Notamacropus eugenii: one gene and its partners. Each later gene encodes a partner of the first gene's protein in a complex. Links are inferred from orthologs where the notes say so. Each region holds a gene or a part of one and is shown in the gene's direction. Other genes may lie near its edges. The genes, in order: TIMM29, TIMM10, AGK and TIMM10B.

What was found.
Region 2: the proteins of TIMM29 (region 1) and TIMM10 are in contact, whole or in part, in a cryo-EM structure (PDB 7CGP), measured with the Homo sapiens proteins. The link is inferred for Notamacropus eugenii from reciprocal best matches to the Homo sapiens genes TIMM29 and TIMM10. Residues at the interface, in NP_612367.1 of Homo sapiens: Asp181, Asp183, Ile184, Asp186, Phe189, Leu192, Leu196, Arg197, Val199, Gln203, Leu204, Ser206, Asn209, Glu210, Leu212, Phe213, Asp214; in NP_036588.1 of Homo sapiens: His30, Arg31, Lys32, Cys33, Pro35, Pro36, Leu43, Ser44, Lys45, Gly46, Glu47, Ser48, Val49, Arg53.
Region 3: the proteins of TIMM29 (region 1) and AGK are in contact, whole or in part, in a cryo-EM structure (PDB 7CGP), measured with the Homo sapiens proteins. The link is inferred for Notamacropus eugenii from reciprocal best matches to the Homo sapiens genes TIMM29 and AGK. Residues at the interface, in NP_612367.1 of Homo sapiens: Tyr145, Gln146, Cys149, Arg150, Tyr151, Leu152, Gln153, Arg155; in NP_060708.1 of Homo sapiens: His33, Asn36, Arg39, Arg40, Cys43, Gln44, Gln47, Asn51, Lys82, Pro86, His89, Leu90.
Region 4: TIMM29 (region 1) and TIMM10B share a complex: the UniProt entries of both Homo sapiens proteins name them as parts of the TIM22 complex. The link is inferred for Notamacropus eugenii from reciprocal best matches to the Homo sapiens genes TIMM29 and TIMM10B.

The regions. Positions count from the first base shown.
Region 1 is NC_092875.1:79,089,505-79,095,400, reverse strand, and holds TIMM29 (mitochondrial import inner membrane translocase subunit Tim29), read left to right. Parts: upstream 1-4,434; 5' UTR 4,435-4,450; coding exon 4,451-4,559; intron 4,560-4,638; coding exon 4,639-5,363; 3' UTR 5,364-5,379; downstream 5,380-5,896. Other genes in the region: protein YIPF2, read right to left, coding at 1,448-1,552, 1,639-1,821, 1,898-2,064, 2,199-2,315, 2,454-2,541, 2,980-3,060, 3,143-3,288, 3,945-3,975. UniProt on the Homo sapiens protein: Component of the TIM22 complex, a complex that mediates the import and insertion of multi-pass transmembrane proteins into the mitochondrial inner membrane.
Region 2 is NC_092873.1:3,159,452-3,166,399, reverse strand, and holds the start of TIMM10 (mitochondrial import inner membrane translocase subunit Tim10), read left to right. Parts: upstream 1-3,938; 5' UTR 3,939-4,095; intron 4,096-4,261; exon of another isoform or gene 4,262-4,359; intron 4,360-4,432; exon of another isoform or gene 4,433-4,451; intron 4,452-6,115; exon of another isoform or gene 6,116-6,195; intron 6,196-6,948.
Region 3 is NC_092874.1:107,529,285-107,537,117, reverse strand, and holds the start of AGK (acylglycerol kinase, mitochondrial), read left to right. Parts: upstream 1-4,816; 5' UTR 4,817-4,965; intron 4,966-5,534; exon of another isoform or gene 5,535-6,250; intron 6,251-7,833. UniProt on the Homo sapiens protein: Lipid kinase that can phosphorylate both monoacylglycerol and diacylglycerol to form lysophosphatidic acid (LPA) and phosphatidic acid (PA), respectively. Does not phosphorylate sphingosine. Phosphorylates ceramide.
Region 4 is NC_092876.1:89,005,123-89,012,215, reverse strand, and holds TIMM10B (mitochondrial import inner membrane translocase subunit Tim10 B), read left to right. Parts: upstream 1-4,850; 5' UTR 4,851-4,958; coding exon 4,959-5,009; intron 5,010-5,695; coding exon 5,696-5,791; intron 5,792-5,917; coding exon 5,918-6,115; 3' UTR 6,116-6,572; downstream 6,573-7,093. Other genes in the region: ARFIP2 (arfaptin-2), read right to left, coding at 2,045-2,200, 2,295-2,469, 2,587-2,744, 2,837-3,058, 3,291-3,409, 3,535-3,631, 4,105-4,203. UniProt on the Homo sapiens protein: Component of the TIM22 complex, a complex that mediates the import and insertion of multi-pass transmembrane proteins into the mitochondrial inner membrane.

The DNA.
Region 1 (5,896 bases):
GACATGCTGCTTTTTTTAATTTTATTTTTTTACAAAAATAACCAGTGTCAATCCACAGACTCCAGAGGCCAGGCTGGCCTGGCACAAGCATTAGCCAGCTGCCCCTACTGATAGACTCAGAAGATCACGGGGAAAAGGGTGTGGTGGGGAGGGAAATAGGGCAGGGAGGAGGAAGAAAGTCCCTGCTTTTGGCATGGCTGTCTAGTTGAGCGTGCCCCATATGACAGAGGCCTCTATACTCAGTTGGGAAAGCTGTGGCCCAGGGCCCGGGTAGCCTTGCTTCTCTGGGGAAGTCTGTGACCCCAGCACCAAAGGGTTCACCTCACACTTGAATGTACACACCAGCCCATGGCTGTCAGAAACAGCCTCTTCTCCCCTCCCAGCTCTGAGTGAACCATCACCTCTTCCTGCTCTCCTGTCACCTGTGACCCCAGAAGACCTTAGACAATTGTTCTTTCCTTCCTTTCTCCCTAAGAACAGGAGGGGACTGAGGCTTTGGCCAGTGCTACCCATTTGGGGGTGGGGGTGGGGGTGGATTAGTCAGTACTGGCAGAACAGAACCTAGGTTTGTTAATGGACGACCCTGTTTTTCTTTGTAGTTCGCATTAGGCCTGTGTATTCCCTGTATCTTAGTGTAGCCTCCAACCCTCATAGTGTGTCATTTTTGTCCCTTCCATGGGTGCCTGGTAAGGGACCTTGCAGGGATTCCTTCTTAGGAAATAAAACCAGAAATGAGTGTTGTATCACAGGCAGTTTTCTTCAACTCCAGCCTGTCCAGGCTTTTAGTCCCCACTAATAGGACAGAATGGGGCCCCCCTGAAGCAGGAGGGCCTGCAAACTCACGGACTCCCTCCCTTCTGCCCCATTTCAGTATGTAAGAGAATAAATCAATTTTACCCTGGTAGCTTTTCTGTTCACTGGTTTCTCACAATGGAAGTGCCCAGTATGCCCATAATTCCAGTAGGCCCTAACAAGGACTAGAAACCTTGTACGCAGATGAGAAGTTCCATGTTTATATAGTCTCTTTAAATCACATTTGCATAAAAAAATAAACTTTTTGATTTGTAAGAACTGTCTTCAAAGCAGCAGAATGAACAGTGACTCAGCAGGTGATGGCTCCTTCCATCACTGGAGATCACCTGATGACCAGTTGGCAGGTGGCAGGTGAACCCTGCTCTGGTTGTTTCTCCCCCAGGATGACTAACGGTACTTGATCTTGTCAGCTTTCCCCAGCTGCTAAAAAAAAAAAAAAGTAGAAACTAAGTGGAGGGATCCCAAATTATGTTTCTGCAGACCTGCTTGCTCTGTGAGCAAAGATCCTATTAAAAGGGGTGTGAAGCTAGTCTCTCAAGGAGTCACCTGTGAAACTTCTGTCCCTCCCCTGGGGGGGGTTTGCTTTGTGACCACATCTCTCCTTAGATGATGATTATTCTGCTTACCTCTTCTCCTAGGAGGCTGCAGAAGTCTTGGAGGAGCCAGGTGGTGTGACCTGGTGGAGTGGGGCTTGGGTCACAGGAACGGACCTTGAAGGCAGGAACTGGAAAAAATATAACTAAAGCAAGAAGTCTTGAGTCAGTGCTGAGGCTACAGGCCATTCCAGCCTGCCAGTTCCTCTATACCCTAGACAGCTGGTGCTACCTTGCAGCCGATGGCCAGGAGGCCGTGGAGGGCAACCATGACTGTAAGCAGCACAGCTGATACCACCTTGGTGTCTGAACGGACGAGAGGCCAGAAGGTGAGCAGGAGCATAGCCCCTGAAAGTGACACAGCCGTGACCCCAAGAAACCACTGAAGCCCCGAGATAGGGATCAGCCATAAGACCTGAGAGGGAGAGAGAGAGGCTATAGACTTCTGTCAGTATCTAATACCCCCAGCCCAGCCCCCAAGCCACCCTCACCACAGTCGGGATGTAGATGAAGAGGGAATATCCGTAGACACACACAATCTCCAGAAAGGTGTAGCAGCTCATGTGTTCCCTGACCCCCTTGCGCCACTGCAGAAAGCCCCATAGTGCCGTTGGTACCAGCCATGCGTAGCAGTAAATGGTGATCCCTGCAACAGTAACTGGGAGAGAAAACCCAAACCGTACCTGCTAAAGGCCAAGTAGCCCTCTAGTGCCCTGCAAGGGCCCCAGAACAGGCCCCAGAACAGGCCCCAGAACAGGCAGGTCTGCTGCATCCTTGAGCAGGCTTGCTCACCTTTATGAAACTGTGGGCTATAAGAAAAGGAAGAGTCTCTCCAGTTCTGCAGCAGGGTGGCCAGGTTGCTGCTCACAGCTAGTGTAAAGGCCAGTGTGGCACATATCCAGAAAGGCCCTAGGGAAGGAGTGGAAATAAAGTGCAGAATGTACATTAGATCCCTGAGAACTGCACCTCCCCAGCCCAGACAGAAATAGATCTGTACCCTGCCTCTAATTTCAAATCCTTTAGTTAGTGGAATTAAAACAGCTTTACCATATAGGTCTGGATGATGTCGAAGACGGTGTCTCACAAAGTTCTGGCTAGGAATTGGCAGCACTGAACTTCTGATCCTCTCCAGCACCTAGGATGGAAAAAAAGCACCCACCCACCCACCCACCAAAATCAGAACACTTAAGTGCCTATTAACATGTAGGGAGGTCATTGCTAGTACAAGGATGAATAGAAGTCCCTGCCTTTGAGGAATTTCATCAGAGGGGATCTATGTATACAAATAAGCACAGTATGAAGCCATAGCCTATCATGATAAGGACAAAAGGTGCATCCAGAAAGAGAATGTGTGCGTGTGGGGGGGATGTTGGGAAGGATCATTTTCAGCTATGTGGATCAGGAAAAGGAGCAGGGAAAAGAAGGTGGCACCTTCAGTACAAGCCTGTTGGGGGTAAGTGCACAAATACCAGCGGGCTTGATCAAAACAAATAAGCCTTTATGTTCTCCAGAAGCCAGTAAGGAGGGGCCTTCACTTTCCCACCTTAAGTGTGAACTAGCCTCAGGCCTTCACCTGATGGGTATCCACATCAAAGAAAGACTGGTGGTAGCTGAAGGTCCAGAAGTTTGGAGGTTGTTTCTCACCCCCAAGCAACTATAAGAGAAATGGTCAAAGGTGTGTCCTCTGAAGGCTCCCAGCTGGGTAACATAGAATTTCCAGGAAGGCCTAAACTCACCTGAGTCTGATCATTCTCTTCCAATTCTCCATCTTCTTGGTCCTCCATGTCCACAGCCAGGCTCACATGGCTCTGCAGTTCCCCAAGACTGGAGACGGTAGTAGCCCCTGGTGTCTCAGCCAGCAAGTCAGCAGCCATCTCAAATTCTGTAGATGTGACCAGTCCCATCCAGGCGACCCCTCCCCCCAAACTAAGAGCTGGCCATTGGTAGACCACCCTTCAGGTGCCCAAATTCTAGACCTCCATTCACCATGCCAGCCAGCCATTAATCTGTCCTTCCAGTTCAGATATGGAGTTGGGGATGAAGAGGAAGCCTGCCTGACAGTGCTGGGCGGGGGTAGGATGGGGAAGGTCCATGCAGGACAAGAGCATCAGCTAGGTAGCAAAGTGGACAAATCGCTAAGACCGGAGTCAGGAAGACCTGATTTCATATTTTGCCCCTAACACTTACTAGCTGTCACCCTGGGCAAGTCACTTAACCTGTTTGCCTCAGCACCTACCTTCCAAGGTTCAGAGAACCAAATGAAATATTTTTAATTAAAATACTTGGTACGGTGCCTGGACGTAGAAGGTGCTATAGAAATGTTAACTACTATCACTAGGAATAACCTCAGGTCTGGGTTCCAAGACGGGGCTGGGGAAGGGAAGGTCAAGGACAAAAGGTCCCTTGCGGGGGCAGGAAAGACGGGGATCTCTGAGGGAAGAGAATAGGGGTCTGGAATGCCTGGGGAGGGTCAGGGAGAGAAGACGGGTCCGGCGTTTGGATGGTCGGGGGAGGAGGGGTTGGGAGCTGTTCACTCACCGTGGAAGGTGAGCTCTTGGGGCGCAGCCATGGCCGGCGCTCTCACCACATCTCCAGCCTTGCGCCCCTGCGGAGACAGGTCGGGGGGTCAGGCAGCAAAGCCCCTCCCCCGGATCTAAAGCCTCGGGAGCCCGGCTTACTCAACCCACCCCTCCAGCTGTCGGCCAGCTGCGTGGAACGCCTCCTCTACGCCTGCGCCAGCTGGATCCGGGTCGAGCCCACTTAGTCCGAGGCAGGGGAGACAAGGCTTACCGCTTGCCCTGCCTGTCCTCCTCCGCGTGGTGGCGCTGCTTGTGGACGTCCAGATGGTACAGCCGGGTGCCGGGATGCTAACACTCTTGTCACCTTCCCCCGCCGCCCCCTTCTACACGTGAGCGCTTCCCTTATTCCCCTCCGGTGGGGAATCGTTTCCGGTAGCGCCTTGGCTCGAACCCGGTGACGCTGCAGTGTCGCGGCGAGGGGAATGTTTCCTTCCGGACCGTGGGGAAGTACGGAGCAGGAAGACGATGGTGGCCGCCGTACTGTGGAGGAGAGTGTACTCTAGCGGCGCCGCCGCCGGAGCGGGAGCGGGCCCCGGCGGGGGCGTAGCCAAGCGGCGCGTGTGGGAGCGGCTGGGTGAGTAGGGCCGGGACCGGGGGGAGGCCGGGGCCGGGGGGCCGACGTCCCGGGCGCTCACGCCGCCTCTCGCCCGCAGGCTCGTGGGTTCGCGGGCTCCTGCACGACTACGCCGAGGCGTGCGCGGACGCGGCGGCGGCGGCGCGGGAGCGGCCCGTGCGGGCGGCGCTGTACGCGGGGCTGCTGGGCGGGGCGGCCGCCTGCGCCCTTCGCACCCCGGAGGAGGCGTCCTTCGAGGAGGCGCTGCTGGACGCGTCCGGGACCCTGCTGCTTCTGGCGCCCGCCACCCGCAACCCCGGCTCGGAGGCGCACGTGCAGCGGCTGCTGTGGCTGCGGGGCCGGGGCCGGCTGCGCCACGTCCACCTGGGCCTGTGCTCGCTGCTCTACGAGGCGCCCTACGACCCCGAGGCCAGCCTGTACCAGGCGCGCTGCCCGCACCTGCAGCCCCGCTGGGCCGACTTCCCGGGCCGCGTGCTGGACGTGGGCTTCCTGGGCCGCTGGTGGGTGCTGAGCGCCAAGATGCGCGACTGCGACGTCAACGACGACGAGTTCCGCCACCTGCCGCCGCACCTGCGCACGCTGTCCGAGGACCAGCTGCGCTCCGAGGTCAACGAGTGGCTCTTCAGCCAGAAGTACCTGCCGGCCGTGCTCACGGAGGACCAGGTGGACCAGGCCCTGTGGGAGGAGCAGGTCCTGCAGAAGGAGAAGAAGGAGCGGCTGCTGCTGAGCGAGGCCGGCCCCGAGGGCGTGCCGCGCGCGGGGCTGAGCGCCGAGTGGCCGAGGGAGGGAGCTTCGGTGAAATAAACTGGTTTTTCCTCTCTTCTCTCTTTCCCATCTTTTTTTCCCTTAAACGAGTTGGTACAGTTTGGTGCACCAGGTAAGTGGAGTTGCTTTGGTTGTCCTTAGGGACAATCCAGGTTCTCTGGCCCCTTTCTTACCAGTCAGTTTGGAGGAAACCAGCTGCCGCAGGAAGATGGTCAGACGCAGAGCTCTGTATCTTCCTCCTCCCCGCCACTGCCTCCGACCCTCTTCAGGGTCTTCATTGTCATCAAGGCTACCAGCACCCTCCCAGTCGCTCAGACTTGTCCTCCCCTCCCCCCCCAAGCCAGTCATTTGCTCAGACCTCTTGCCTTCTTAACCTTTATATGTCTCCTCTTCCCTGAGGCCACTGCCACCAGGTAGAACAGATTATCACCTCAGGACCTGACTGCTGCCCCAAGTGTATCCCGACTTCAGTCAGTTCTCTACTCAGCTGTCACTTGGATCTGTAAGTACAGATCTGACACTGTGTCTCTCACTTACTCTCACACACGCTCCTCCCTTGCAGTAAACTCCTT
Region 2 (6,948 bases), on another chromosome or scaffold:
ACCACGCGCTTTCTCATTTTCTGGCTAAATACAGAAGTTCCTTTTGAGTCTGATTCCTCAAACTTTTCGTCACCTTAGTGTGGCTTTTTCTGGATCTTCTCCAATTTCTCCCTATGCTCTTTAACATTCAGGGAGTCCATGGGGGCTGGGGGAGGGAGCTTGACAGTGTTTCTTTGATCTGGGATGTGTCCGGGCTTTTTTCCTCATCTTGTGCCTGGGTTTTCTCTATCTAGGAGAGAACAATACTGACCCCTGGTGAAATTCAATGATAAAGCTCCCTTCCATGAAGGAAGAAGATGGAAGAAATTTTGGCATAGCCAGGTTGGGAAGATGGGGTGGGCAGAATCTGGACAAAGCACAGGAGCAAGTGACTGCCTAGGGGAACGTCTGGGGTGGAAACTGGAGGAGGATGAGGCGGGAAGAGCCTTGGGCTCACAACTGGAGGACATTAGTTTTGCAGCCTCTGTCTGGCAAGTCTCCTACTCTCTGAGTGGTGATTTCCTACCCTGTAAAATTAGGGGATTGGGCTAAATCATTTCTGAGGTCTCCCCCCCCCTCCTCTTCCTCCTACTTCTCCTCCTGCTTTTTCTCCTCCTCTTCTATGAATTCTCTCACTGAAACAAGAGCTGCTGGGGATAATAGGTTTCTACCTTAAAAAGACAGGAGAGAGATGGAAGGAGCAAGTGTGGAGGAAACATATCTCCTCTGTGAACCTTTCAGAATAGAGGTGGCAGATGGCAGTCAGTAGGCCTAGCCTGACTATGAATTCACAAACTGTCTTAAAAGACATCCAAACCACCTATCAGCCTACTGGAACTGTGAAACTTGAAGTTTGAAGGGACCTGAAGGGATCATCTGGTCCAACCTGTTGATTTCACCTATGATGAAACTGAGACTTAAAGAAATAAAATGATTTGTCCATGACCACACTACACATTGATGGCAAAGCTAGGACAAGCATTCAGGTGGAACCTTGTGGGTGAGAGTCAAAAAGGAAGTCATGGTGGGGAGGAAGGCTTAAAAATAACTGCCCTGTGTACTGGGAGAAAGAGAAAGAGAGGTTTCAAATGGGGTAAATTATCTCAAATAAAAGAGGCAAGAAGGAGCTTTTACAGTGGAGGGGAAGAGGGGGGGATGTGAGGGGAAGTGCGTGAACCTTAGGCTTATCAGAATTCTTTCAAAGAGGGAATATGTACACACTCAATTGAATATAGAAATCTATCTTACCCTACAGGAAAGTAGGGGAAAGGGGATAAGAGAAGGGGGAGGGAGATGATAAAAGGGAGGGTAGACTGGGGGAGAAGAGAGTCAGGAGCAAAATACTTTTGAGGAGGAATAGGGTGAAAGGAGAGAAAGAATAAAATAAATGGGGGAGGGGTGAAGAAATAATGTTAGTCTTTTACAACATGATTATTATGGAAATGTTTTGCATGACTACACCTATATTAAGCTGCTTGCCTTCTCAGTGAGATGGGGTGGGGAGGGAGGAAGAGAGAGAATTTGGAACTCAAAGTTTTAAAAATGAATGTTAAAATTGTTTTTACATGTAACTGTGGAAATTAAAATACTAAATAAAAGTTTAAAAAAACTCTAAAAAATAGCTTCCCTTCCTTCCCCTTTTCTTACTTGCCTTTCCTTTCCTTTTTCTTTCTTTCCCTTCCTCCATTTATCCACCACAAATAATTGTTTATAAAGGACATACTATGTACCAAGAACTGTGCTAGGTCCTAGAAAGACAAAGAAAAAGAGGAAAGGAGACAGTTCCTGTGCTCAAGGACATCGTGTCAGGAAATACATTTGCCACATGCACACATATAAGTTTCTAATTCTATCCCTCCAACTACTCTTTGAAGAAACTAATACCTGAACTGCCTTCTTTATTGGATAGTTGTAAGGAGGTAAGTACTGCATGTTCAGCGATATGACTATCAGCTCTTAATGTCCAATATCTCACAGCTGGTTTAGTGAGTCAGTTTCCCCCATATTGTAAAGTCTATGCAGAGGCAGTAAAATAGCCTGGTGATGAGGTAGTGTGATATAGTGGGCAGAATAACTGCTTTTGTCAGAGGATTTGGGTTTGAATCCTAACGGAGAAGTAACACAATTAAAGAAACTCAGAGCTGAAGGTCCTGTAATCCAACAGGAACCAAAATCCTTTCCACAACCTCTTCAACAAGTGTTGATCCAACCTTTGTTTCACTTGAAAATCTCCTGTGAGAAGACTTCTATCACCAGCCAGACAGTCAATAAGCATTTATTAAGTGCCCACTATGTGCCAGGCTAAATGGCTCAATGGATAGAGTCCTGAAACCCAAGTCAGAAAGACCTGAATTCAAATTTGATTTCAAATACTAGTTGTGTGACCCTGGGCAAGTCACTTAACCTCTGTTTGCCTTAATCCACTGAAGAAAGAAATGGCAAATCATTCCAGTATTTTTGCCAAGAAAACCCCATATGAGTCATGAAGAATCAGACGGGGACCGAACAAACAAAAAAATGTGCCAAGTGTTGCAATCTACTCCTCTTCTGGTCAGCTGGAATCGATACTAAATGTTTATTTACATTAAGTCTAAATCTGCTTCTGCACCTTGGGTCTTTTGCTCCCAATTCTACATTCTGGGAACAAACGGATTAAATCCAATTCCTCTTCTGCTGTGTGGCCTCATTGGATCTTTTTTATAGCATGGGGGAGGAGATAGGTAAAATGAGGCAGGTTGGATAAGATGCTCTTGGGGGCATTCTTTCTCTTCTTTTCCAAAGCTCCAAGGTAACTGGACACCAACTGGTCTGCTTCTGTCAATAATCCAGTCCACTCCTACTTGACTGGATCTTATATTTAGAGGTAGAAGGAGCCTTGGAGAACATCCAGTCTAACCCTCCCCCCCCCCATTTTACAGGTGAGGAAACCAAGATCCAGAGAGAAGTTGATGAAGGTTGGAAGGGCAGGGTGAGAACCCCACAAAGACAGGGGTACCAGGGGCAGGTCACCTGGAATGAATTCGTGGATTCAAGCATTGTTGAGGTCAAGGTAAAGATTTATTATGTTTTTCAGTGGGCAAGAATTCTTAGGGAACTTGCAACCTTAGAGGGGTACAGGTAAAGGATATTCTATAGTGAAGCATGTGCCAAATATGCTAACTAGGTGTTTGGGGGTAGGATTAGGGAGTGGTTAGTTCTTAAGGGAACATGCACTTTTGATATCTACTGCACAAATTTTTACCCCCAATTCATCTGGCAATAGCCCAAGTGGGGGGCGGGGGGGCTACCTGGAGGTGTGGTTTTAGACCTGAAACTTCACTAAGCCAACTAGAGGTCAGGATTGACTCAGGAATATCAGGTGGCTCTCATGAATGTCTTGTTAGACAAGACAAACATAAGGAAGTATATGTATCTCTAAGTTAGGATACATAGTACTAATAAATTCTACAGCATGCTACTGTAGCAAGGGGGGAGATAAAGATTGTTGCTAGGACAGGCTGTGCTGGGGAGAAACTGCCTGGGATTGCACATATAGGGAGGATGGGCTTTGGCGGGCTTGTCCACAGGGGAAGGGCTTGCCTGGTGGGTTGGGGCTGGGGTGGCCTCTTCTGTAACTTCAGGACAACACTGAGACCCTAACAGGGAGAGGCGGTGGATGCCCATGGAGGGAGGGGGCAGAGAAGGGTGTTGTATGTGGGGTCAGGAGGCAAGTTTCTCCATCTGTAAAATGGGAATCTTTGCGTCCCCAGCGATTAGCCTGATATCCAGTTGGAGGTATTAGGGTAATTATGGTGGAGAAGCCGTATGAAGAGGTTGGAGTCTCCTCCACCCAATCCCAGCCTCCGAGCACGTCCAGATTCGGGGCCCGTGCCCTTCCCCACCCAGTCAGGAGCTCCGCCCCCATCCCTGTGACGTCACAAAGGACGCTCGCTCCAGCTCAACTCTCCCGCCTCGCGCATTCCCTGCTTCCGCCCGCCTTCCCTCTCTATGGTCGCGGCCCCCGGCGTCCTAGAGCGGACCCGGGCGGCCCTACCCGCCCCCTGCCCGGGGCAGCACTTCCTGTTTCCCCGGAAGTGGGCTAGGACTTCGGCTACCGCGGCCCCACGCTTCCCCTAGGTGAGTCTGTGTTGTTGCCAGGGGCGCCTGTGGATCCTGGGCCGGGGGAGCATGGGGCGGGGGGGTGCTCCGAACGTCTGGGTCTCTTGTGTGTGCCTTCCCTCCCCTTCGCTTGGGGAACGGGAGGAGATAGCAGTGCCGTGATACTATCCATGACCCCTGACGCACTGCCAGCGTGACCCCTGACCCTTGACCTTCATTCTTTGACCAACTGACTGAGCAGCCCCTCCTGATGAACCTCCGCCCGGTCACCGACTCCTGACCGTAATGCCACAGACCCCGCCCTGTTGTTTGATCTCTTAGTTTGTTCTTAGGGTCGTGAGCCGGAGGCTGGAAGGAGCCTTGGAGGCCGTCGGGTACAGCTGGGGAAACTGAGGCCCGTGGGGCCTAGTGCGGTGCCCAAAGACGCCCCGACCTGGAGGTCCTGCCCTGCACGGGGAACCCCTGCAGCTGGAGAGGGACCTCCTCTTTTTACAGATGAGGAAACTGAGGCCCGGAGAGCGGAAGTGTCTCCACCTCTTACTGGCGGAGCGCTCATCATTTCGGCTTAGGGCCTCAGTTTCCTCATCTGTCCACACTTGTCCAGACAGGGATTCTTTGCCAGGGTTATATGAACCTGTTTGTCCAAAATATTTGTCCGTGTGATTGATAACTTTTGCAGTCTAGCACATTTACAAACATTCTGAGCAGGTGTCACCCCACTGACCCCCCCCCCCCAGGGGGTCCCTGATACCAAAGCGCAATAGTGGATCCAAATCTGGCCCTGCCCCTGACACGTCCTGCCTTGGAGACCCGAACTTTTAGTGCTGTAGGCCTCTGGCGTCCAACTCAAACAGGGATTGCCTTAGAAAACCACATTTTTATTTATTCTGTAAAACATTTCCCAGCCACATTTTCACCTGGTTCAGGGCTTACGTTTCACACTTAAGCTCCAGAAAGTTCTCTAAGATTATAAATTATAAAGAAAGTGCTGCCCTGGACTGGTGGGGTTTGGGGGGACCCTCATGCAGGGATTCCCTATTGCCAAAATAAAACCTTGCTCTACCTCTCTACCCCACAGGGTGGTGAGGAGGTTCCAGTGAGATGGTGGATGTGAGATGCTTTAGAAACTGAACCCACACAGTAATCATTTATGAAGTGCTGGCTACGTGCCAGGCTCTGGGCATAGCAAACAAACAGCAGTAAAAACCCCCAGCCCTGCCCTTAAGGAACTTAACTGGAAAGTGAGCTTCATGAAAGTCGGCCATGACTGTGCTTGTCTAAGGTCACACAGCCCTTTAATGGGAAAGTCTGTTTTCTTTGAATTTTAGAGGCACACAAGGATAGACTCATGTAAAGAAGGAGCTCAGGCCCCTCATGCCTCTGTTATGTTAGAGTTGTTCAGGTTTGCTGGGCAATCCTTAGTCAAAAATGCCACCACTGAACCATCAAACAGAAAACGTCAGGTTGAAGTCGGTGAAGCTTAGAATGCAAGGAACCATGACCCAACGCATCTAGTCCAGACACTTGGTTTTGTAGATGAAAAACTGAGGCCTAGAGAGGAGAAATGAGATGGATTGTTCCATCTAATCCCCAGGATACGTAACAACAATAACTACCACCAGAATTTGTACCCCACAGTCCAGTGACACTGGTCTTCTTGCTGTTCTTTGGTCACAACTTCCATCCCCTCTCATTTCTATGCCTTCTCCACTGGCTATTCCCCATGTCTGTAATGCTCCCTCCCCCAACCCCAGCCACCTCCATCTCCATCCTTTGGTTTGCCTGGCTTCCTTCAAGACTCAGCTCAGAATCCTACTTTGTGTAGGAGACCTGTCATGGTCCCCTTCACCCCTCCAGCTGCTTCCCTGTGAGATTATCTCCAATTTACCCACCATCTAATTGTTTGCATACTGTCTCCCTCATTAGATTGTGAGGTCATCAAGAGCCAGGAGCATTCTTTTGTTTTCACTATGCACTTAGCACAGTGCCTGGCATATAGTAAGTCCTTGATCAATGTTTAGTGATATGACTTGATAGCACCTATTAGAGCTTTTGCTCTACTGGTAGCCTTTGAGAACCCAAGGATCTTGGTGCCCAGAGACATTGAAGGAATTCAAGGTATCCAAGAAATCACTCACCAAGTAGTAGTAGGAACCGAGTGATCGACTGCCTGGGGAGGACAAAACCAGGCTTGCTAAATGAGAATAGCTCATTACTTTGTTGGCCATGGAATGGCAACCTTTTCAGCCCTCACTGAAGATTATCTCCTATGGCATGAAGGGATTGCAGTAGAGTTGGTGGAGGGAATTCATCAATGAAATATCCAAGTTCCCTTCTGCTGGTGTGTGACAGTGGTGTCAGTTACATTTTAATCTGGTTCCTGTGGGAGTTTGATGCTTAGTTTCTCACAGATTGTGCAAGAGATTATAAGCTCTGGTAGATCCCTCCAGTTTGGAAAGATGGACTTATGACACACTGTCTGCTTGTTGATTAACTTATCAGAAGGCCAGCCTAATTAGGTTGATGAAAGGGTCAACACAGAAGGTTGGCCAGAATTTTTCTAGATGTGATAACTTACAAAGTTGTCTTCTTAGGGCAAGAAGTCAATAGGATCTGCATTTTTAGGGTAGTACCTGTATTGATGAAATTATGTTCTATTTAATAATAGTAATGATTACACAGTAGCTCCTCTTTTTTATAGTGTTAGACCATTTATAAAGTAGTTTCCTTTTTAGAGTCCTGTTATTGCCCTTTTACAAGCATGGCCTGAAGAGGCTGTTATATGCCAGGAAGGGCCAAGGTTGTGATTAGAATCCAGTGCCTCAGACCTCGAGTGAACTGTACTCTCCATGTTGCAGCAATTCCTAGTTG
Region 3 (7,833 bases), on another chromosome or scaffold:
GAAAGAAATGAGAGATGTGAAAATTTAGAGAATCCACCCCAAATGTTTACATCGACTATTTGTGCCTGACCTGTGGTACAGCATATTCTCTGATCAGTCACAGTCAGACACGTTGTAACTTGACTCTAACACAGTAATGTCATTTTGATCCTCTGAGAATGAAAGACAACAACCAAGCCACCTAGTTGTCCATCTTACATATATATGCATATATATATAATAGCTAGTATTTATATATTAGGTGATTAAAAAAACAGCTAGCATTAATTAAGCACCCATTATATGCCAAGCATTTAAGAAGTATTATTTCATTTGATCCTTACAACAACATTTGATCCTTACCTGGGAAGCAGGTGTTATTATTATCCCCATTTTATAGATGAGGAAACTGATGTTAAATGACTTGCCCAATGTCACACAGCTAGATAGTGTTAAGAGGTAGGATTTGAACTCAGGTCTTCCTGAGTCCAGGTCCAATGCTCTGTCTACTGTACCAACTCTCTCTTGGATCTTTCCTTGGATTCTTTTGTTTTAAGAATATCTTAATATCTATAATGTCATAAGGATGAGTGTAGCATTCATTTGCCTTTCATCCTTAATACATGACCAATCCTTCTCTCATTTGGTCTGCATTATATGTATAACTGGGGCAGCTAGGTGGCAAAGTCAATAGAGCAGAGTCAGGAAGACTGGAATTCAAATCTGGCCTCAGACGTGTGACCCTGGACAAGTCACTTAACCCTGTTTGCTTCAGTTTCCTCATCTGCAAAATGAGCTGGAGAAGGAAGTGGAAAACTATTCCAGTATCTCTGCCAAGAAAACCTCAAATGGGGTCACAGAGAGTCAGACACAACTGAAACTACTGAACAACAACAAAATATGTTTAAGTTGGACAAATGCAGCATATAGACAACAAAGCAGGCCCAGAATTTGGTAGGCAGGAAGATGACATTTGGGAAACTGCAGATCTTTTAATGATCTCACACTGCTCACTGCCACAAAAGTCCTTTTTTAGGATCACAGATATAGAGTTGAAAGGGACTTCAGAAGCCATGCTGTCCAAACTCCTCATTTTATAGATGTGGAAACAGACCAGAGGGGAAAAAAAGTAAATTCCCTAAAGTGTCAGAAGTAGAATTTGAACCTTTGTCCTCAGACTGCAGAACTAGTGGTCTTTCTACTGTACCGACCTGCCTTCCTCTTTATGATCATGCATCTCACCAGGTGATGTTACATGGGTGCACATCAGGAAACTCCACAAATACGAAAATTATAAAGCTGGGTTTCAGACCGACATGTAGAAATCTTATAAATGAGGGTTATACTAAAAACTGACATTTACATACACTTTCAGATTTGTGAAATGCTGTAATACATTAGATCATTTCAGCTTCATGGCAATCTTTTGACACAGGTACTATACCATCATTATCACTATTTTACATATGAGGAAACTGAAGGTGGATCTTTGTACAATCTAATTTACAACTAACAACTAATATCAATTTAAGACAAAAGTGATCAGGTTAAGGAGAGATTCTTCTTATTCAGTACACTCCAGTGGTTTCCTATTGCCTCTAGAATCAGATACAGTTATCCTTTCCATATCAAAGGGGTTGAAGGTGAGGTGCTCCAAGATCTGGAAAATCCATGTAAAATTTTTTGGTCTTCCTTTTATACCAGAGAAGACATTTGAATAATTTCTTTTTCTTTTACGGGGTGTTTACAGTATTTCATTGTAAATTTTGGGTTAAGTATTTTTCTGTGTCAACTGCTGGCCTTCGAGTGTCATCTAGGGCTCCCACAAAACTCCCCCCAAATTATCATTTAATTTCTTATGCTGACCCTTGATATATCGAAACAGCATTGGGGAAAATCATGATGTGGAAGGGATAATTGTATATGTATAAATTCTTCTGTGCAGCTTTTAAAATACTCTGTCACCTTGCTCCAACCTTCTGAATGTATTGCATATTGCCCCCCACCACATATTCTGTGATCCAAGGCCAATGTAGCCTTTTGTCTGTCCCTCAGCAATGAATTTCCTTCTCCCAATGCCCTGTCTTTGCAGTGGTCTTCTCTCATGCCTAGAATCACTCCTTTCTCACCACAGAACTCCTCTCTTCCTTCAAGACACAGTTCAAGTATCACCTTCTATATGAAGGCTTTTACAGATACTCTTAAGGGCTACTGTCTTCCCTCTTCAATATTTATCTATTCTCTTTATATTTGTTCTGTATATGCTTATGCATGTTCTTGCCGTCTCTCCCATTAGAATGCAAATTTGTGAGTGGGGATTGTTTTATTCATTATATTTGTACCCACAATGCCCTGCAGTGCCTGTCACAAAGTAGGTAATTAATAAATGATTTTTTTTGAGATAATAGGAAAAACCTGACTCCAGTCCACACTTCCAGGGTGATTACTATCAAGAAATTCCTTCCGCCAAGAGGAATGGGACTTCTTGGGAGAGACGTGTACCCATGGTTAGGGTTCTAATGACTATAGGTCAAAGGTAGGAAGCCAAACTGAAAGCAAGGAAATGTATTCTCATGCTACAGAAGACTGTTCTCCATAGCAGCTTCAGTTTCCTAGGATACAGTTAGTTTTTATAACTTTTCAGCCCCAGTTAAAGTACACAGCCAACCAGTAGCATTTTGCTGCAATTTAGAATAAATAATATCTTTCACAGAAAAGGGAAGGGTGCGGGAAAGGGGAATCAATCAAAAGGAAAAAATGAGGTTCTGGGAAAATATTTGTCATACAGTTGTTAGAATTTGTTATCAGAATGAGATTATTTTCTGTTCAAGGGTAGGTGACAAGGAGAAGTGACTATATACTTTTACAATTAAGAAGACAAAAAAGCAGGGTTAAAGGGAGCATTTTAGACGGGGGCAGACGAGTCAAGGTATTGTTACAACAATGCATGAGACCATCCATTATCATGTTCTTGTATGGTTGGTTATAGAGGAACTCATTTCTATTATCATCCCTGTTATAATTATTTCCTATTTTTTCTGTACGTAGCTTACTTTGCATATATTTGTTTGCCTATTGTCTCCTCCATTAGACTCTGAGCTCCTTGAGCTCCTTGAGGGCAGGGACTGTCTGACCTCTTTTGGTATCTTCTGTGCTTAGCACAGTGCCTGTGCTGAGTAGGTGCTTAATAAAGGGTTATTGATTGATTTCTCTTTCAATAATGATAGGGGACTTTTTTTTCACCTCTTTCCTGAACTGTTTTTTAAAATAATAGTTTCCCCAATTACATGAAAAAACAATTTTTAAAAAGTTTTGAGTTCCAAATTCTACCCCTCCCTTCCCCCTAAGACAGTGAGCAATTAAATATGTGTTGTCATGTAAAACTCATTTCCATATTAGTCATTTTGTGGAAGAACACTCAAAGAAAGGAGAGTCAGAAAGAAAGGAAGGAAGAGAAAAAATAGTATGCTTTAATCTATATTCAGACACCATCAGTTCTTTCTTTGGAGGGGGGTGGCATTTTTCATCATGAGTCCTTTAGAATGGATCATTGTATCACTGAGAATAGCTAAGCCATTGTAACTCAGGTGGATTGTAGTGTGTGTAAGGTGGATTTTTGTTATTCTTTCTTAGAGTTTAGTTTCCCAGGATCCACAGCCATAAAAATCTTTATTTCCCAGGCTCATGACTTGTAAACATTTCCACTACCCTTGTGCAATATATAATGTGTTATATAATGATAAATACTATAAACATTTGTGCTTAAAATTATAAATATCACTACAACTGTACAGTGAGATATAATGGTGAAATAATGTAAACTTGTGAGACTGTTGCTGGCAATGTGCCTTCTTTGTTGCCCTATAAAGCAGGTAGGCACTGGTCAGTGAGTGGGGAAACCTTAGGGTTGAATGTACAAGCTGGAATGATGTTCGAGTCTTGATGAGCCCCCATCAAGGCTTGGGGAGAATCTGTATTTGCCTCAACAAGCCCCCATTGAAGCTTGAGGGGATTAGGGTAGTGCACAAGATATGTCTGTCTTGATTGACCCCATCAAGTTGTAGAGGGTAGTTGCCAGCCCCTGCCAGAAGGGTGATTAGGGAATGCTGTAGGAAGGAGTTGGTGCTCCCATTATCAGCAACCCCTTTGACAAGACTAGACTAAAATAAAATAAGATTATTAACTCCTCTGAAGCTGTCTTCCTGTTTGATCACATCAAGAGTGAACCTGCAATAACAGCCCTGCTGTGTATTTATCAGTCATCGTACAATATTTTCGTTACTGTGTACAATATCCTGGTTCTGCTCACTTCATTCTGCATCAGTTCTACTCTCTTTCCTGGTTTTTCTAAAATCATTGTACTTGTCATTTTTTATAGCACAATCGTATTCCACCACAATCATGCTACAATTTGTTCAGTCATTCCCCAATAGATGGGCATCCCTTCAATTTCCAATTCTTTGCCAACACAAAAAGAGCTGCTATAAATACCTTTGTACAAATAGATCCTCCCTGTTTTAAAAATTTCTTTGCGATACAGACCTAGTAGTGGTATTGCTATGTCAAAGGATATGCACAGCTTTATAGGACAGTTCCAAGTTGCTCACTAGAATACTTAAATCATTTCACAACACCAACAGTGCATTATTGTCACTGGGTTCTTTTAAATATTAGACTACAAGATGACTGGGAGATGAGTCCATCTGAATCTTATGAAATGAGTGCGGTTTCTGTCTTATCCTCCCTCTACAGGTTATTTTTCATTCACTGCACTCTCTGGTCAAACTGGCCTTCCTGCTGACCCTTACAAAAGCCACTCCATCTCAGATCTGGCTGGTTTTTTTTCAGACTTCACCTTTGCCTCTCACTCAGAAGCCCAAGTTCCCTTTGAAACTGTGCTATAACAGGATCTCTTCCCAGAGGCCTTTGCGGATCTCCCCAGCTTCTGAAATGACCTTGATTTTATTTTGTGTGTGACATACACAGGTATGTATCTATCTATATCTATACATGCATATATATATACATATACGTACGTGTGTGTATGTGTAGATACATATAATACATACGTATAGCTAGCACGTGTTGTTTTCCCTGATACAAAGTAACCTTCTTGAGACACCGCAGACACTTAACAAAGGATTCTGATTGGTTGATTCCTCTTTACAACCTGACCGGTGAGTCCCGGTGTGAAAGATGGGCAGCGGGAGGACCGGACTGGGTCCGGAAGCCCACCCGCTCCGTGACCTTGACAGTCACCTCCCCTCTCTGTGCCTCAGTTTCCTCGTCTGTAAAACGGGCGGTGGGACTAGAGGCTCTTCCAGCTGAAAAGCCCCGGGGTCTACGAACCCTGTGTCCATTGTGCTTTTGGGAAAGCGGGAACGCTGCTTGGATGCCCTGCCCCGAGCTCAGATTCATGTGGATGGCTGCGCTGGGGGAGGGGGCGGGAGAAGGGAGAGGGGGAGGGGGAGAGGGAAGGGAGGAGGCCGAGCGGAGCCCTCGGACGTTCCCGGGCATTCCCGCCTCGGGCCGCGGGGGCAGGGCGCGCCTGCAGCGCCGCGGAACCCGAGCGCAGGTGGCAGCGGTTTTCGGGCCGGGGCGGAAGAGCTAAAGTCTGCACACCGGAAGAGCGGCCCGGAGCGTGGAGCGCGGAACGCGGAGCGAGGCCTGTAGAGGCGCTGCTGGGCGGCGGGGCAGGCGGTGAGTGGGACGGGCCGGGCGCCGGGCCGGGCCGGGTCGGGAGCGGGCGGAGCCTCGTGGGGGGCGGCCTGGCCTCCCTCGCTCGGCCCGCTCTCCTTCCCCTCCGGCCCCTCTGTTTGCCTCCGGTGTGTGGGAGGATGTAAGGAGACGGTAGCTATGAAAGGTCTCTGGCACGTGTGGAGTGGTGTGCAAGCCCACATTCATTGGCCAGCTGTTAAAAACGGAACCCTTCTGGCGTAGAATTAATTGTCCAGCTGTCCGGCTCCCGTACTTGCTGGGTAAGGCCGGCGGTTCAGGCACCTGGTCATCGCCGCGCCGCTGCGGCGCCTGGGCGTTTTCGCTGCCCGCTCTGGACTGGATCCTGTAGGATTCCTAGAATTCACGGCGTCTTCCCGTCCTTGTCCGTGTGTCGGGAGCTGTTCCAGCCGCTCCATTCAGGCTGGGTGTTGGATTTAACCCGAGGGACCTGGTCCTGAGTGGTGCAGACCCTCATTCTGTCCTGGCGGCAAGTGGTCATCTGGAGCCGATTGTTTTACTATCTAATTTATATCTCTCCATAAGAGTAGAAAAGGTGCTTTATCAAAAGCCTTTCCAAAATCCAGGCAAATTCTATCTGTAGCATTCTCATTGACTAGTTCAGTAACTTGTCAGAAAAGGAAGTGAGGTTAGTGTGGCATGGTCCACCCTAGATGAAGCCGTGCTGAGAATTGTAGCCCCTGTTGCCCTTTCTAGATGTTTACCAGCCATCACTTTGGTTCATTGAAGAATTTTCCAAGGAATGGAAGTTAAGCTCACTTAATCAATAGATTAATCAATAGATTGTGTTCGCTTCCCCCACCTTGGGATCGTTTGCCCATTTTTAGGCTTATAATTTGTCTCCTATTGTCCATGATCTTTCAGATATATTACTGACCCTGCCAGTTCTTTTCTTACCCAAAGTTGTAATTCCTCTGGGTCAGGTGACTGAAAAATCTGGGCATGTCCTAATACCCCTTTCTGATAGGGAGAAAAATGCAGAAATGCCTTCCTTGATGTTTAGGTGGCTTAGCCCTGGAACCTATCCCTAAACTAACTTTTCTTGAAATCTGACCAGAGAATGAAGGACCCAGCTAGATCTGACTCAGTAGAGAGAGAGCTGAATCCCGGGGCACTTCCCTAGGTTACAGAACAGCAATTCCTTTTTGACTTCAGCTATAAAATACATATCTTTGAGTCCTGTCCATTCTTGTTTCTTAACTTGCCATTTTTTAGTTCTTCCTTTTCCCAAACTACTACTCTTTGGTGAAGAAGTCAAAGTGTGAGAGTGGTTAAGGTAAAGATTACATTTGCTCTTGCTAAGCCTTCCTTATTATGTAATATTGGACCATGGTAACAAAAGGAAAGAGCTTCTTCCTTTAGTCTGTGTTCATGCATGTATACTGTTTAGCCTACCTATACTTCTCTATAGACCTCAGGTCATCCACATCTTTGAGAACTGTGGCATTGCAAGACTGCTAAGTGTCAAGGGATCTCTAGAAGAACATTGGTATTAAAAAGATGAGTGTACCAGGGAGCAGGTTGATGTTGTTAGAAGTACTATACAGTTTTCTAGATTTCATTTTTGGGCTCCAATTCATTATCTGTATGAAGTACATGTCCTAAATACATGTACCAATGTGCTACCTCAGTTAATGGCCTTGCCTTCTACCTAAATGCCATAATCTAGGCAAAAGGCATGTTTTTTTCTTTTAGTTTTTTCTTCATGGATGGATAATGCTGATACTTTTTGAATAGTCATGGGTCATATTGAGGAGGCCTTGGCTTACCACGTTCAGCACTTTATCATTCTGAAATGATAGACCTGGAGAACATCTTCATATCTGGGGAGTCCTCCCTTTACAAGACATCTTCCGCTATATCTTTGGCAAGCATATTCTCACTGATTTGTGCCTCATTGGATAGCGATTATTACAGGGGCATTGGATTGCTATCTCTAATTGCATTTATTATGGAATCTTATGTGATCCTACGGATCAGAGATACCCCATTGGAGGAAAGCCTTTAATGTTGCATTTTGATTCTCCAAGTCAGGTGTTTCTTGTAGCCAATAAATATAATTGGGTCTTGGTAATTCTCTGCAGCTTTTAGTCAGTTAAGGGCTTGTAAAAATGTGGC
Region 4 (7,093 bases), on another chromosome or scaffold:
GTGTGGTCCAGGTGACAACACAAACTGGTGAACAGAACTCTCCCTCTGTAATAAATCTGACCACTGTTAATGGAAGTGGGGGTGGCAGGGAGGAGAGGAAATCCCAGCTATACTACTTCTGAGTTTGGTTGGTTGTTTGCTCTAAACCCCAATGCAGCACAATGACCTTTCATAACTAATCTTTAGGCCAACAAACTAGATTAGATACCTAGGACTCTTGTGTTTAGGATGTGTTTAAAATATAATTCAATAGGAAATACCATTCTAATTATGTTTATTACCTTAAAGAATTTAAATTCTTAATTGTAAAAGTTGGTGTAGAAATTGCAGTTCAAAATGCTCATACAAGGTATTTTACAGATATATCAACTGCAGTACAATCCAGGAACTGCTCAAGGCATTTTACTGACTCATGGGGAAGGGAATATTAAAAAATAAACATTGTTGTTTGCTTTAAATTGGGAGAGAGAATGACTTGCCAAAGTCTGGTAAGAAACCAGGGTGACTGGAGAAAACAAGCTGCCTGGTATGATGCCAGTGACATTGACTGTATACCCCCGCTCTATGTGACTACTTGTCTGTGACACCTAGTGGACCAGTTCCTTCTATCTTTCCCCCTCCCAATTCTGAACAGAAGGGGAAAAGCAGCAGGTGTCATTTAGAGAGTTAATATAAGATTTAGATGGAGGAGTGACAGAAACACCACAAGGAAAGCACCAGGAAGCAGGAAGTTTGCAATGTAAACTTTTCCCATCTGTCCGTTTCCCTGGAGTCACTAACAAGTTTCCCTTTGGAAGCCTCAAAGGGCCTTTTCTTGCGCTGGTGTCAGAGGCAACAGAGAATGCAGAGAAGCCAGAAGCATGGGTGGGCTGAAGATAACAAATTCCAAGGAGAAACAAGTAGTGTCAGTGGCAGTTAGAATGTGAAAGGACTGGGTATCCCTGGATCTGAGTATAACCAAAGGAAGTCTGGGGCCACAATGCCTAGGAACTGCATTAGTGTAAGGACCGAGTCCTCTAGAGTGTAAGTGCAAGGGGCTCAGGCCCAAGTCTAGAGGGCCTGTGCTCTATGCATCATCCTCCCAGACCCTTTACCCCCCAACAAACAGGCCCGGGCCAGGTTTTATGAAAGGTTTATTTCTGGTCCCAGGCTCCCAGGCCACCCTAGGGCTGGTGTGACAGTTTCTACAGACTGGACAGGCACCCCAGAGTCCCACCCACAATTAAATTAAGAGAAACACCACCCTGGCTCCAGGGCATAGAAAGAGACAGGCAGATGCTGGGACAGACAGCACGGCACCCCTAGTCCTTGCCCCATACCTCCCCAGTCTGCTACCCTTTGGTCCTAAGACCCTCCCCTCTTCCTCCCCCACCAACAGTAATGGAGGGAGTGGAGGGGGAGGGCACTGAGGGCAATGCCATTGGCTAAAGGATCCCCGAGTGATGCTAGCTCAGGGTAGGGCCCCAGGAGACCTGCTATCGGCCAAGGGAAAGACCCAGGAGTGATGCCATTGGCTTAAGGGAGAACCCTGGGAATTAATGCCATTGGTTGGGAAGAGGGCCCTTGGGGAAAACAACCACTGGCTGAGGGGTAGTGGGAAAAGATCTGGAAAGTGAGGCCAAACTAGCTGACAGAGGAGCAGGGCCTTAGGCATCAGAACTAAGTGCTGTTGCACCTGGTCCAGTAGTTGCCCAACCTGGTCCTCTCTCCTGGGGTGTGCCTCCCTTTACCACCCACAAGAAGCTAAGGTCCTGGAAGGGAGATCCTGGGCAAAGAAGGATGAAGGGAAAGGGGAAGTGTACATTCTTGCTTTCCCTGTCCCAATCTCTTCCCTACCAAAAAAGGCTTCTCTCTGCTCCCCTAGTAGGCTTGTTGGAGAGGAGGGCACTTATTCCTGCTCCCCTCAGCCCCTCCTAGGGAGGAGGTCCACTGATCCTCCACCTAGGAGGGCTTCTTGGGGACAGGGGCCAATCCAAGGGGGCAGGCCTCACTGCTCCTGTAGCCAGGAGTGCTTCTTGGGAGTGGAGGGCCAGGCCAGGCCATCTCACTGCTCCTCCAGCCAAGAGGGTTTCTCAGAGCCTGGGGGCCGAAGCTTGATGTTGAACTGCTGCAGGGTCTGCTCAAGTTGCTGCTGGTTCCCAGCGAAGTAAGCGGACACGGCATTGTGGAAAAGCAGCAGCTGTTTGTGCATCACCTTGATCTGGGGGCATGGATGGGGGTCAGTTGGGAGGAGGTGGGAAGAGAAAAACATTGAGAGGAGTTAGGGGGTAGGGGTGAGGGGGACAGTTTAGCACCTTGTTCTCCTCCAGAAATTTGAGCTTGATAGCCACGTCCCCACGAAGTTTCTCATACTTCTCACGATGTGTCTGGAATGTGGCCTGGGCACTTTCAAGTCGGCCCAGAGTCCCGGCATCCCGTGGACCCAAGCTCAGTTCCTCTAAGTCTGTGCGGTATGCATCATATTCCAGTCTAGGGGAACAGAAAGAGTCATGTATGAATAAAACTTGGGGAGTAAGGCCTAAGGCGTCCTGACCTTGAGCCCCGTACTCACTCCCCACTCCAATTTTATGGCTTGTACATTCCTACCTGGCAGCCTCATATTGCTTGACAGTCATAAGAGTGTCCTCCATGGTTTTGGTGACCAGGGTGTTGATGCTGGACACAAAGAAATTGACAGCCCCCAACAGAGTCTCCCCATTCTTACACAGCAACTTCTGTGTCTCTGCATTATAACCAAATTCCTCCTGTGGGTTGAATGAACATAGGGGCCCAGAGGTCATGCCTTGCCCCTGGTCCCCTGTTGCCCTCAAAGTGGAAGGGAGGTAGGTGCACACACCTGGAGCTCGGGGGACTTCTGGCTGAGGTCAGCGAAGGCATCACCCAGGGCATGCTGAGTCTGCAGCAGGCTATAGAGGTGAGCAGTGAGTGCCCGGCCCAGCTGAAGAATACTCTCATACTTGCGCTTTGTGTCCCGTAGCAGCTCAATCTGCAGCTCCAACTCTAGGTCCACGGTGCGTGATCCTCGGCCAAACCGTTCGGACAGCAGCTGCTTTGTACACTGAGCAGGCCCCAGGCAGTCAGAGGGCCCTCCCGGAGACAAGAGCCCCCCAGAATATGGAAATACCTGCCCCCCTCCCAAGTTTGTGACTATGAGCCCCTGGAGGAGCAAGGGCAGGGGTGAAGGAAGGGATGGGATGGGATCCAGGGACCGGGGAAGAGGTAGGGCATTAACAGGAGATAGGATCTGGGGGAACCCACGGGACAGGGGGCTGAGGGGACACAAGCCCCACCTTGTAGGTGTTGATGCCCCACTTCTTGACAATGTCAAACTTCTCCCCAGCAATGCCCCGGGCCACTTCGTCACCAGGGCCAGCAGGGGTTGCACTGTGGGGCTGCTGACGGCCAGGCCCTAAAGGATAAAATTCTGTGATCTGCATGATAACCATTTCTGTCTCTATCCCCTCTTTTCTTCCTTTAACCAACAATTTCTCAGGTTTTCAACCCCAATAATTCCCCAAGTCCTCTACCTCATACCTGTGGGGATAAGACCATCAGCCGAGCCCCCATAGCCTCCTGACACAATGCTCGTCTCATTGAGATTTGGTCCAGATACCATCACCTGCTGCAGGTCCTATGAGGGGTCAAGTGGGAGTGAAGAGGGACAATTAGGTAGAGACACAGAGATGAGGAATGGAGGACTCACAGGAGAAGTTCAGAGAATTCAAGGTGTAGGAAGGTAACCTAGTTTGGAGTAGGGTGACAGAAAGTAGGGGGATTGGGAGGTCCAAGATTTGGTAAGGCTAAGGTATAGTTAGAGGTGCAAGTACAAGAGAGATTAGAAGATAGGATGGGAGTTTGGGTATTTAAAGGAGTATTAGAATAGATGGGGCACCCAGAGATGGCATGATCATGAACGTGAGGCTTAGCGAGGTCAAGGCATGGTATGGGGCACCAGGGAATTTAAGAGTAGTAAGGGTATTAATGGAACAGAGTAAGTCAGAGAATGGACAGAAGATTAAGAGTTCTTAAGTAAGGAGGTCAGGACAAGTTACTGGCACCAGGGATATGAGTACACTGGGGAGCTCGGAGCAAACAGACCCCCACCTGCTCCAGCCCATCATCTTCAGGAAGCCGTCCAGCCTCGCCATTGCCGTGGATGGGGATCTCCATGGTGGCCGCTTTCCCCAGGATCCCGTCAGTCATGGCTGGGGGAGGCAAAAGTTCGAATAAGGGCATCTATCCTCAGTAAACATATTGTACTTCCCACGGACCCAGGTGCATTCATCCTTCAGGAGAATTCTGCCCTGGACGTGGGTAGGTGTTCGTCCTCTCCCCTTGGCCGAGTTGGATGCCCCTCTTCCCCCCACTTGTCTCAGGTGGGCGCCCCTCCTCCTTCCTGGGCTCAGGTGGGTGCCCCTCCTCCCCCCTTAAACCCTGGCTTTGGCTGGGTGCCCCTCCTCCCCTCTTAAGCCCTCAGCTCAGCCGGGTCCCTTCTCCTTCCCCCTGTCCCTAGGGCTCGGGTGGGTGACCCTCTTCACCGAGCTCAGGTGGACGCAGCTAAGCGCTCCTTCCCCCCCATTGACTCAGGTGTGGGTCTTCCTCCTCCCCCCCCAGGGCTCAGGTAGGTGTCGCCCAGCTTCCTCACCTCTGGCTGGGCCACGCTCCCTTGACTTCCTTTCCTCTCTCCCGGCAGCCTCGCCTGTCCCTGCCCTGCCCTCGGGGCGCCGGGCCCGGGGCCGTCCTGGGACCTCGGGCTCCGGTTCCCTTCGCGCTCCTCGCAGCAGGTCAGGGACACGGCGGAAATGACGTTCTCTGCCGGGCAAATGAAGGCAGCCGCGTTGCCCACCGCCAGGGCGGAAGTGACACCACGAGCCGGGCCACGCCGCCTAGCGCCGTAGGCGGGGGCAAGGTGTGCGCGGTTGCGGAAGTGACGTAAGGGGCCTGCGCCCTGTGGGGCCATGGAGTCACAGCAGCAGCACCAGCAGCAGCAGCAGCAGCAGCTGAGAAACGTGAGTCGGGCTGTGAAGGTTCTCTTCGGCTCGGCGGGTCCCTCGCTCCTACCCCATGGGCCGCCGGAGCCTGGTCTGGGACAAAGGGAGAGGGAAACCCGGTGTGTTAAGAGAGGGCAGGCTGTGCGGCCGATTGTGGAGCATGCGCTCTTTGGTGCATCCTTAGTGCCAGGATCGGGGGCTGGAGGCGCGGTCTGACGTTGAGATGGAGAGGCCTGTATGGCCCGGGACGGGCAAGGGAATGCCTCGGGAGAATGCTTCAAGGGCAGGGACCCTGAGTGCTCGGGACTCCCTTTCACGTCTGAGGCTGGCTGGGGAAGGGAGTGCCTTCGGGGGCGTCTCCCAGCCCCACCCCCCGATTCCCGCTGTTCCCACGCTCGTGTGTCTGCTTGTCTGCGTGTGCAGCCTCTGGCCCCTTCCTCCGACTAATCCTGATCTGTGCTTTGAAAAGAGCTCTGGGTTTGGTGGCTCTTGTTTTGGTTCTCTGATTGATTCACGCTTTAACCTCAGGCAGGTCACTCTTCTCTCCCCCCCACCCCATCCTGTTTTCCTTATCTATAAAAGGCTGGGAGTTAAGGACAGAATATTTACGGTCACTTCTAGTACTAATTGTATAAGCCTTTTCTGTAGAAGGTGTCTTCCCCGGGACCTCATCACTCCTCTTCTCCTCTCCCCTTTGCCCCCAGCTTCGGGACTTTTTGTTGGTGTATAACCGGATGACGGAACTCTGCTTCCAACGCTGTGTGCCCAGCTTGCACCATCGAGCCCTGGATGCAGAAGAGGTGTGTGTAAGAGATGTTCTCTGTAGGGAGGTGGAAAGTGCTCCTCTGGACTGAGGAAAGAAACTGTAACTGGAAGTAAACTTGGGGAGGAGGGAGACTGACACCACCCTTCTCCCTCCTTTCTAGGAGGCTTGCCTGGACAGCTGTGCAGGAAAGCTGGTCTACTCCAATCACCGCCTAATGGCCGCCTATGTACAGCTGATGCCTGCCCTGGTACAGCAGCGCATGGCAGACTATGAGGCCACTGCAGCACTGGCAGAGACAACTGGATCTCCATCAAGCCCCGTGACTGGCCAGCATGGGGCTCTAGGCCCAGGAAGCTAAGGGATTCCTGTTCACCTACCACCTTGGAATGGAATGCTCAAATATGGGACTTTCTGATATCTGGAAAGCGTATAGTGTGACATGGGCAATTTAGGGGGCTTTCTGGGGCTATCCTGTGTCAGTTCCACCTCAGTTGTTGCTTACCAAATACCCTTATGTCATCACACCAGGGGCCCATCATCTCCCACAAGTGGTGTCCAGGCAGAGGGAGAGTAGACCAGGATATCCTCCAAATTCCAAAGGAAATAGTACAAAGGGCTAGAACCAGAGATGACTGAACAGAAAGAGAAGATTGCCTGGATCCTCAGAAGGATTGGAATACAAGAAAAGGAATTATTAGTTCATGGCAACCCTTCTGATCCCTGTCACTGAAACCCGGAGATGGCAAAACATCCCTAATTGTACCTTTCCCCCTTATCTGACCCTGCCTGTCAGTAGTAAAGTCCTTATAAGTGTCCATGCTTGTGTGTGCTTGCTTTAGGGGAAGCAGGGTATGGATTGGTTGAGACTTTTCTTGTCCCTCTCCTGGACAGGAGTTTGAGATGAAGAGAAAGATGCTGTCTCAAAGTATTGGCTATAGGATTTAGGAAGTCTCAGGCTGTCAGAGAAACTTCTTTAGGCATCTTTTGTTTCTTAGTGGCTAATTTCCTTGCCAAATCCCTATCTGTATCTTAAATTGTATTCCCTGACTTCTCTTCTAAGACCTTGATTCAACTCTCATCCCTCTTCTCTGTCTTTCTTCCCATACAAACATTTTCTCCCTTGTTTCTTTGACCCTCAATCTTCTTATCCTAAAAAAACCAAAAACTTACCCTGGACTCTGCTACCCTCTTCAGCTTTTGTTCTCTGTCTTCACTATCAAAGTCCTAGGAAGAGTAGTCTGTACTAAACTTTGTCAGTATTCCACTTTCTCACCCACTTTCTCAACACGTTCTTTGAAGCCCTGAAATCTCTTCTATCCCAGCACTATACTGAAAC